Caenorhabditis elegans: one gene and its partner. The protein of the gene in region 1 purifies or fractionates together with the protein of each later gene. This does not show direct contact. Each region holds a gene or a part of one and is shown in the gene's direction. Other genes may lie near its edges. The genes, in order: myo-3 and mlc-3.

Region 1 (5,085 bases):
AATCAGTGTTTTCAGGATTATGTGATGAACTAGATCTTCAAGTTTCGTTACATTTCATATGTTTTCGGAACTCACGAAGTACATATTGGGTATTGTGCTCAAAAAATTCAGCAATCAGCTTCGCTCCGCTGACTTTAGAACCCAAAAAAATAGTATGGCCAAACTGACTGTGTTACGATCATTTCAATTTTTCAATACATATTTAAGATTTCTAAGAGTAAGAAGGTCAAAAACTGTTCTGGAATACATATATATTTTTCAGGTTACAATTAGTCAAAAAGTGCACTGAAATATACGTTTTAATTTCACGAATAACCCAATTAGTTCAATGTATTTTTGGTCAACCAACGTTAAAGTTTGGCTTCCAACCAATTATCATTTCTGATCAACCACAATGTTTTTTCTTTATCTGCAAGTTAATTTTTTATTTTTATCCAGATGTTTGGCATATTTTTCAATTCTTCACTAGCGCCCACTTCTTGCACTTCCGGCGCCCTGAATCTAATGCATCTGTTGCAAGAATTGAAAGACCAATCAACACATTGTTTTCTTCACGAGATACTGAAGAAAATGAATAAAAACAGAGAAAAAGAGCCATGTGATTAGTGACAACTGTTGCTAACAGATACCATAGCTTGGACTTGGTACGTGATGGCAACGTATGGGTCAACAAAAATGATTGCAGAGGGGGTGCAAAACAGTCAAGTCGAGAAAATATGAAAAACAGAAAACAAAGAACAGAAAAATGGGTTTGAGAGTCAGTATAATTTATAAAAGAAAAATTGTACATAGAAATTAACCATTTTTGTAGAAGAAGTTATTTTTCAAGCATCGTTAAAAATTATTCAAAGCACCTTATTTCATATTTAATTTTAAACATGGTTAAATGAACAACACGGTGCGCAATCAGGAAAACTTGAAATCTGAAACTGTTGTTGTGATCTTCTTCGCAACTGTTCAGATAGCACTAGTGTAATGTTAAGAGTGCGCGAATATAATGGAATATAATGGATCACACCTCCTGCCATCAGGTAAACGTCTCTGTTATCACATATTTCCAACTATTAAATTTTTACCTTTTACAGTTTTACATTTTTTTGAAAAAAGTAACTTTTTGTCTTCAAAATCCCTGACGAAAATATCAAATATTTTAATCGAGACTGCAGAGGAACCGATTGATGATTTGGAAAATCCAGCTTTACCTGTGTAAGAACTGAAAAGTTTCATAACCCTAGGGTATTCCCAGTTACATTCCCCACTGGCTAACAATAGCACCCAGTTTTTCATCACCTTTCTTCAAATTTCTCGGCGATTTGTTAAAAACAAAATTTGTGTCCCTTCTCTGATATCTCTATGTCTCTAAACACAAGTTCATCGGAAAACGAAGGAGGGTAGGTGTTGGTTGGGCTCCCGAAGTGAAAATAGAAGAGCAAGAATAGAATATTAGAGAGAGAGTGCAGAGAGGGCGGGATAGCTCCCGGGATTCCGTTTTCTTCTTCTTTATCTTCAACGATGATGTGTGTGCGTGTTGTATAGATTCTGTTGCTCCCCCACAACTCGCTCCGAAGGCTCAATACAATTCAATTGATATTGGAGGAGAGCCTACCGGAGTGGGAGGATAAGAAGAAACATAAGAAGAAGAAGAAGAAGAAGCATGCTTCTGGTTTTTGATGCTATGAAAACGGCACAAAAAGATGATTGAGGTCCCTTTTCAATACCTTCTCTCATCTTTCAAATCCCATTGAAACCTAAAACTTCTCACCACGCTTTACCATTGTTCTCCAAAAACTTATAGCAATGTCTATAACTTTTTTATCTCTGAAAAGCAGTGTTCCATTTTTCTTTTTCCTATTTTATTTCAATTGTTTCTCACATTTCGTTTGGATTCTTTGCTTGTCAACCAGCTTCTTCTTCCACTTTTACCGTCTAATTTTCAGGGCAGGGAGCCATCAAACCCACGACCACTAGATCCATCTAGAAATGTCTGGAAATCCAGACGCATTCGAAAATGATCCAGGATTCCCATTCTTGGGAATCTCGAGAGAGGCCAGAGCTGCCACTGCTGCTCGTCCTTTTGATTCCAAGAAGAACTGCTGGATTCCGGATCCAGAAGATGGTAAGTCTTGATTTCGAATTGAAAATTTTAAAGAAAAATTTTGAACCACGTGCTGTAATATTTGGCAAGAATATTTTCCCATAATTTTAATAGTAACTGTGATATGTTCTAATTTTAGAAATCAGTTGTCAACGCTAAAAATGTAAGGGTTACAATAGTGGTATTGCAAAGAGTTATGATGGTTAAGTTTGTAAATACTTTTTTTCTGTTAATGAAACTAATTTGGATACAAATTTTTCATTTGATCTAAACAGAACATCTTAATCAAAAAACACTTTAAAACTCTTGCTTTGATATTGTTTGTTCAATTTCCTAATTCTTACCAAACCAATTCAAGCTAACTTTCATTATGTCCATTCCATTAACAAAAACTATTATTACACCTTCTCTCTCATCGCCAGTGTCCACATTCATCCTACTCTCCTACGCTTTCATCTGTGTCTCTCAGATCTGCATTTTATCTATGATACATCACACTTTCCACCGACCCCGCCGGGCAACCAGTGGTGGCGGATTTTTGAACATCTGAGGTTCTCTCATCTCTCGGTCATCTGATGAAGCACATACACACATACACACAACGGCACTTTGTAATCTTTCCGGAGAAGCGGGCAGGCACACACGTACGCTATGAAGCCGGAGCAAGAGCTTCTCCTGCCGTTTGAACTGCGGCTTCTGCTGTTGGCAGGAAAGATGATGAGATTTCTTGGAATTTAAGATTGAGATATTTGACGTCCCACATTTTATGGATGGACAACAATATGTACATGTTTTGAAGATTTAATATTGAAATGTGGATATGAAATCGGAATTTAAAAAGTCAAGGTCAATAAAATGGTAATTCTGACCAGATCTATTATTCGAGGATGACAAATAAAACTAGGATTAAATCAAAAATACTAAATTTGAAAATGAAAAAGAAAAGATTGTTCTATAACTTATAAATCTCACAATAATGATTTTTGTACAGAAACAAAAACTAAATGACATAATCGAATAAAACATTCTGATTTTAATCAGCCGCATGCGACAAAACATATATTTCTTGGAGGCTAATATTAAATTTCAGGATTCGTCGCCGCCGAGATCCAATCCACCACCGGCGAACAGGTGACCGTGGTAACTGTGAAGGGAAACCAGATTACCGTCAAAAAAGATCAATGCCAAGAGATGAACCCGCCAAAATTCGACAAGACCGAGGATATGGCTAACTTGACCTTTTTGAATGAGGCCTCTGTTTTGGGAAATCTCAAGGATCGTTACAAGGATTTGATGATTTACGTAAGGAAATTGAAACTATTCAAAAAAAAAATTAATACTATTCAAAAATTGAACCGACTTAATTTTCAGACATACTCCGGACTTTTCTGTGTTGTAATCAATCCATACAAACGTCTTCCAATCTACAGTGAATCTGTAATCAAGCACTTCATGGGAAAGAGACGTAATGAGATGCCACCTCATTTGTTCGCTGTCTCTGATGAAGCTTACCGTAACATGGTTCAAGGTATGTGAAAATTTAATTGTTTTAGAACTTTATTTTTCAAATTTCAGACAAGGAGAACCAGTCTATGCTCATCACCGGAGAATCTGGAGCTGGAAAGACTGAGAACACCAAGAAGGTTATCTCCTACTTCGCTATTGTTGGAGCCACGCAAGCTGCTTCCGGCAAAGAAGCCAAGGATGGAAAGAAGGGAGGTACTCTTGAAGAGCAAATTGTGCAAACGAACCCTGTGTTGGAGGCTTTCGGTAATGCTAAAACTGTCAGAAACAACAACTCTTCCCGTTTCGGAAAGTTCATCAGAACTCATTTCTCTGGATCTGGAAAGTTGGCTGGAGGAGATATTGAACACTGTGAGTGATCTTTTATGATTAGTTTTTAAGAAAAAATGAGATTGGAGGAATTTAAATTGAAACTAGTGAAACCATTCAAAAAAGAAAAATATTTTCAGATCTTCTCGAAAAATCTCGTGTCGTCCGTCAGGCACCAGGAGAGCGTTGTTATCACATCTTCTACCAGATTATGTCTGGAAACGATCCAAGTCTCCGTGGAAAGCTTAAGCTTAGCAACGACATCACTTACTATCACTTCTGCTCGCAGGCCGAGCTTACCATCGAAGGAATGGATGATAAGGAGGAGATGAGACTTACTCAGGAAGCTTTCGATATCATGGGATTCGAAGACAACGAGACTATGGATCTTTACCGTTCCACTGCTGGAATTATGCACATGGGAGAAATGAAATTCAAGCAGCGTCCACGTGAAGAGCAAGCCGAGCCAGACGGTGAGGAAGATGCTCTCAACGCTGCTGCCATGCTCGGAATCCAAGCTGAGGAGTTCCTCAAGGCTTTGACCAAGCCACGTGTCCGTGTCGGAACCGAATGGGTCAATAAGGGACAGAACTTGGAACAGGTCAACTGGGCCGTTTCTGGACTTGCCAAGGCTATCTATGCCCGTATGTTCAAGTGGATCATCACCAGGTAAATAACAAAGAGCAAATATTTTTAATTAGGGTAAATATTATTCTACTTATTTTACTTTTAGATGTAACAAGACCCTTGACGCAAAGGAGATTGAGCGTAAGCATTTCATCGGAGTGCTTGATATCGCTGGATTCGAAATCTTCGACTTGAACTCTTTTGAACAGCTCTGGATCAACTTTGTCAACGAACGTCTTCAACAATTCTTCAACCATCACATGTTCGTTCTTGAACAAGAAGAATACAAGCGTGAAGGAATTGCCTGGACCTTCATCGATTTCGGACTTGATCTTCAAGCCTGTATTGAGCTTATTGAGAAACCACTCGGTATCATCTCTATTCTTGATGAGGAGTGTATCGTTCCAAAGGCCACTGATATGACCTATGCTCAGAAGCTTCTTGATCAACATCTTGGAAAACATCCAAACTTCCAGAAGCCAAAGCCACCAAAGGGAAAGCAGGGAGATGCTCACTTCGCTATTGTTCAC
Region 2 (4,586 bases), on another chromosome or scaffold:
TTTATCTGAAAATATCGAAAAAAAAGGTCGGAAACCGATTATTAATTTTTTTTTGAACTCCCACTTTTTTATAAGAACAGAGAAATCGATTTTAAAAAAAGCATTTTCCCTAAAAACTTTTTAAAAAAAGCAAAACTTTCTATTTTAATGGCTCTGAATCTCTGTTGCTCGGAAGTTAAAAAAAATCAAATTTTCGGTGCTATTCGAGCAAGATCCATTCCCAAATAAAAAAAATCTCTCACAATTCAGCGATATTTCGGAGTTTTTGAGAACATTTTTTACTAAAACCGCCTTTTCTTAGTACAGTCGTACCGAAAATAATATTTTCTGCACCTGTCCCAGGTGGCAAACAAGAATCAGAGATCTAAAGACTTGGAAGTGAACCTCACATTAAGATCCCTCCAGGAAACCTTCGGAGCTCTCGTCTTGATTCGCTTCTTCCTTCCTACTTTTCGTTTTTTTTTGCCCACAAAATAGTCATCGAAGAAGAAGAAGAAAAGATGAGATTTTTGCCCCGATGCGAGATGCCTGGTGAATAGTGTGATCTTCGTGGAGAGATGTCTCGCTGATCTCTCCTTGATTGCCATTTCACTATATCTTCCACCCCGAAGTCTGTGGACTCCACTGATCTCCGCATCTCTCGTCATTGAGTAAAAGCATTGGCAGAAGAGAGAACAGAAGAAGGAGGAATAAGAAGGAAGAGATATCTCCACAGTGGGTGCCTGTGCTTTTTCTTCCCGTCGGCTGTGCTCCTAGGAGTGGAATGCCGAGAAAATGTGCGATTGAAGTGGCACGCGGGGAGGATAGAGAAAGAAAATAAAGATATTGAAAGGGAGAATAGAGAAACATACGTTTACAACGAATTAATCGAGTTCGGCAGCCAACACGGGAAAAATGAACTTGTGAAGATGTGTTAAAACACAAAGATCTTATTAATTATTGAAGAGGGAGGAAATAAAATAAATTAACATTTCGAGCATTGGGGTACTGTAGACCTATTCCGTAAACAGAGAAACAAAATGGTTTAGCAGAATTCGCGGACTGAGGCGAGAGGCAGGCGGAGGTTGCCTTAAGGTCAGGCAGGCAAGCGTTTTAATGCAAAAGTAATGGATACTTGTTGAGCCTTATAATAATGTGTCGATATTAAAAAACACAAGTATGGATTTTTAACATAAAAAAGTTAAAAGACGCATGCTTAAATATTTTATAGGATAATTTGGTACTCCTTAAAACTCAGTTTGTATAAAAAAACGATTCGATGAGAGTATAATAGATTTCCAATGTAACTTAATAAATTTCTTGTTTTCCAGGTCGACGTGTGCACTGGATGCGGAGTAATCGGCTCGAAGGGTTGGTGCCAAAAGTGTCGTTCGAGCAAGTCAATGGCGAACATTAAGATTCCGTATGCGTGTAAGCTGCTCTTCCAGGAACTTCAATCCATGAACATTGTCCCGAGGCTGGACTTGGCCAGATACACCGAATAACCTTGTTTTGTAATTGTTGTTGTTGTTGTTATGCTTCTTCTTTCCCCTTCCCAAATCATTTTTTAATCTATTTTTTACTTGTTCCCCGAAATTTGAACATTTTTTGTTGTTTTTTTTGTCATACATTCATTCTTAAACTTATCATGAAAATTTTCTAGAAAATACTTGTTGAAACAGTACGCCGCGCTTTCTCGCTCTCACATCCCACATCTCGCCACTCTATCTCTTGAGCATTACATCCCTCTCTCTATCTCTCGGGCTCCCGAGGGGTGAAATAGTGTACTCGCGCGGGAGTGCGGGAGCTCAATATCCGCCCCAATCCGCCCCCATCCTCTACGAAGAGTCACACACAGTTTACACTTGGGTTGCCACTGCTCTGTCGCCTTCACTCAGTTTCCACACTCAGTCCCCCCTGCTCTGCCGCCGCTGCAACACTCACACATCATCACATAATGGCTCCACCATCCCAAGGTGAGTAATTTTTTAAGCAATGTCCCCAGCTCTTAGGGATACCTTATAAGGTTTTAGGACTTCTAAAACATTTTATTTTTAGTTTTTTTTTAATGTTTCAAAAATATATCCAATTCCCCAAATATATCCCTACAATCCCAAACATTTTTTCAAACTTGAAATCGTTCTAGACGTGCTCAAGGAGATCTTCAACCTCTACGATGAGGAGCTTGACGGCAAGATCGACGGAACCCAAGTCGGAGATGTCGCCCGCGCCGCCGGACTTAAGCCAACTCAGGCTATGGTGACAAAGGCCGCCGGACAGGAGTTCAAGCGTAAGGGAGAGAAGAGACTTACATTCGAGGAGTGGCTCCCGATGTACGAGCAACTCGCCAAGGAGAAGGTACGGTATTTTAAACATCTTGCCTGTGCCTTTAACCTTTAGCTGAGAGTTTTTTGAGATTTAGGGATCTAGGGGCCTCGCGCCAAACCTTTAACTCCCGCACCGAGTGATAATCAAACAAAGAAGATGAAGCTTGAGATTTGTTTTATTTCAAGGTCTAAGTAAATATTGGATCTCAGAGGTTAACCCCATACAGTACCCCTAGCCGAAAACTTTTAAATCACAACTAAGGGTCTGAAAAATCTGAACATCCTCTTCCACCGGCACATGCCAGCCGATCCCTAGAACTTTAGAGAGATAGGCGGCGGCGGCTCCCGTGAAGCATGTGTGGGAGAGGAGCACATAGGACTCTCGAGAATCTCTCTTGGCACACACAAACACACACATAGGCACAGTGTAACAATAGAGAGCATCATCATTCTGCGTCTACTGGGTCCTTGTTGTAGATATTTGTATGGATAGGAAGTAGTAAGGAATAGGCAAGGGATCTTGAGTAAGGATCCCCATATACGGGTAAAAGAATGGAGTGAGTATATATGAAGCTTCTAGGAGCTATTGAGTTTTGGAAAGAGCTGCCAGCTCAGACTATTTAGTGGAGGTTTAAGGTAAAAAATCCTGTAGATCTTTGATTGAATTCAACTAGGGCATTCTCTGGACCCACAACCGTCAGTATTTTGAAAGCTTTAAGGCAACCAGTTTCTTAGAAAAGATTCAAAACAGCACATGGAGATCTTGAAGAGCCAATAGAAACCTACGAACTGAGCTCAGAAGACTGGACAACTCATAAAGTTTGAAATAGCAAGTTTGGCCAGATATTTTGGGAAACACATTTCGCTTTCGTTATTAAATAGTCTGCGAAGTTTACCTGAGCACATATCTACTCAAATTTGACAATCTGAAAGTCAGTGTCTAACGAATTTTGGATAGAATCCTAAGCGAAAATCAGAGAGTTCTCTGGAGCTTCGGGATGGAATTAGCTGATGTTCGAGGTTACTGTCACCTGAATAGGGAATGATTTATGTTTACTGGAGTTAGATGCCTACCTTAGGGTCCGCATGTAGAGCAGATCATCATTCATTTAACATTGAGATTATAAACTGAGAAAATTGTTCTTTCCAATATAAATTTCCAATTTCTTCAGGAGCAAGGAACCTACGCTGACTTCTACGAGGGACTCAAGGTGTTCGACAAGGAGGAGACTGGAAAGATCTTGGCCGCTGAGCTCAGACACATCCTCTTGGCTCTCGGTGAGAGACTTTCCGCCGATGAGGCCGATGAGCTCCTCAAGGGAGTCGAAGACGGAGAAGGCATGGTCAAGTACGAGGGTAAGCCGATTTTTTTTCTTCTCGGAAATTTTTTTTAATTGAAATTTATTTCAGATTTCATCAAGAAGGTTTTGGCCGGACCATTCCCAGACCAGGACTAAATTTTTGGATCTGAATCTGTGCTACACCCATTATAATGTTTAAATTTTGAAAAAAAAAACACCATCTTCTCTTACCCAAATTTTTTGCTCCCCTTTCCCTTCTCTGCCTTCTTTCTCCCCGTTCCAAATAACGATGTTTTACTTTTTTGTCTATAAACCCATCGTCTAGTCGCTCGTTTTCTTCTACGCTATACACGTAAGAGATTCCACTCGCGTGCGCGCATTCCGTTTTCTGATCCAGAAAACGTTTTGCACTTTAAAAATCAGCGCGCGGTTTTCTCTTCTTTTTCTCCAACACATTCAAGCCTGTTTCTATGATCAAGAAATTTTCTTTCTTTCTTCATTTTACACTTTTTTATTCAGAAATTCATTCGTTTCTTATATTCGTTCTCCTTTTTGGATTATAATAAAAAACCTTTTGAATAATTATGAAATGGAAATTTTGGTATAGTACATGTAGTAAGTTGAAAGGCTGCTAGAAATATCAGCTTTTGAGTCGATGACCTGATAAAAACAAACTGCCAGTTTGATTTTTATCAATTGATTTATTTTCCGTCTACTGTGCAAGAACGGTAGCTTCCAAAAAATAAGAAATTGCCAAATTATTTAAACAATTTTTCGTATATATTGTTAGCTGACAACTATTTTTTATTGTATCACCACCTAAATATAGTTTTTCAAAAAATATCACTCAATCCTAAAAATTGGTGAAAAGAAACAATTTCACCTTAAAAGCTTTCAAATTGAAGTTAGAGTAGCGAAACTGTCCACTTAAATATACTAAAGACCCAAAATATTGATTTTTGTAATGAAATGAAACTCT

Evidence for each region.
Region 2: the proteins of myo-3 (region 1) and mlc-3 purify together in Caenorhabditis elegans (affinity purification with mass spectrometry; 2 studies listed by BioGRID, with this or other methods). This does not show direct contact.

What each region holds. Positions count from the first base shown.
Region 1 is NC_003283.11:12,231,196-12,236,280, reverse strand, and holds the start of myo-3 (Myosin-3), read left to right. Parts: upstream 1-1,937; 5' UTR 1,938-1,980; coding exon 1,981-2,116; intron 2,117-2,500; exon of another isoform or gene 2,501-2,636; intron 2,637-2,691; exon of another isoform or gene 2,692-2,884; intron 2,885-3,185; coding exon 3,186-3,397; intron 3,398-3,466; coding exon 3,467-3,623; intron 3,624-3,670; coding exon 3,671-3,970; intron 3,971-4,068; coding exon 4,069-4,597; intron 4,598-4,661; coding exon 4,662-5,085. UniProt on the Caenorhabditis elegans protein: Essential for muscle contraction. Involved in ovulation likely by regulating the contraction of gonadal myoepithelial sheath cells.
Region 2 is NC_003281.10:5,563,196-5,567,781, forward strand, and holds mlc-3 (Myosin, essential light chain), read left to right. Parts: upstream 1-1,829; 5' UTR 1,830-1,936; coding exon 1,937-1,955; intron 1,956-2,125; coding exon 2,126-2,337; coding exon of another isoform or gene 2,338-2,379; exon of another isoform or gene 2,380-2,621; intron 2,622-3,478; coding exon 3,479-3,662; intron 3,663-3,716; coding exon 3,717-3,763; 3' UTR 3,764-3,812; downstream 3,813-4,586. Other genes in the region: rpc-2 (DNA-directed RNA polymerase subunit beta), read left to right, coding at 1,311-1,484.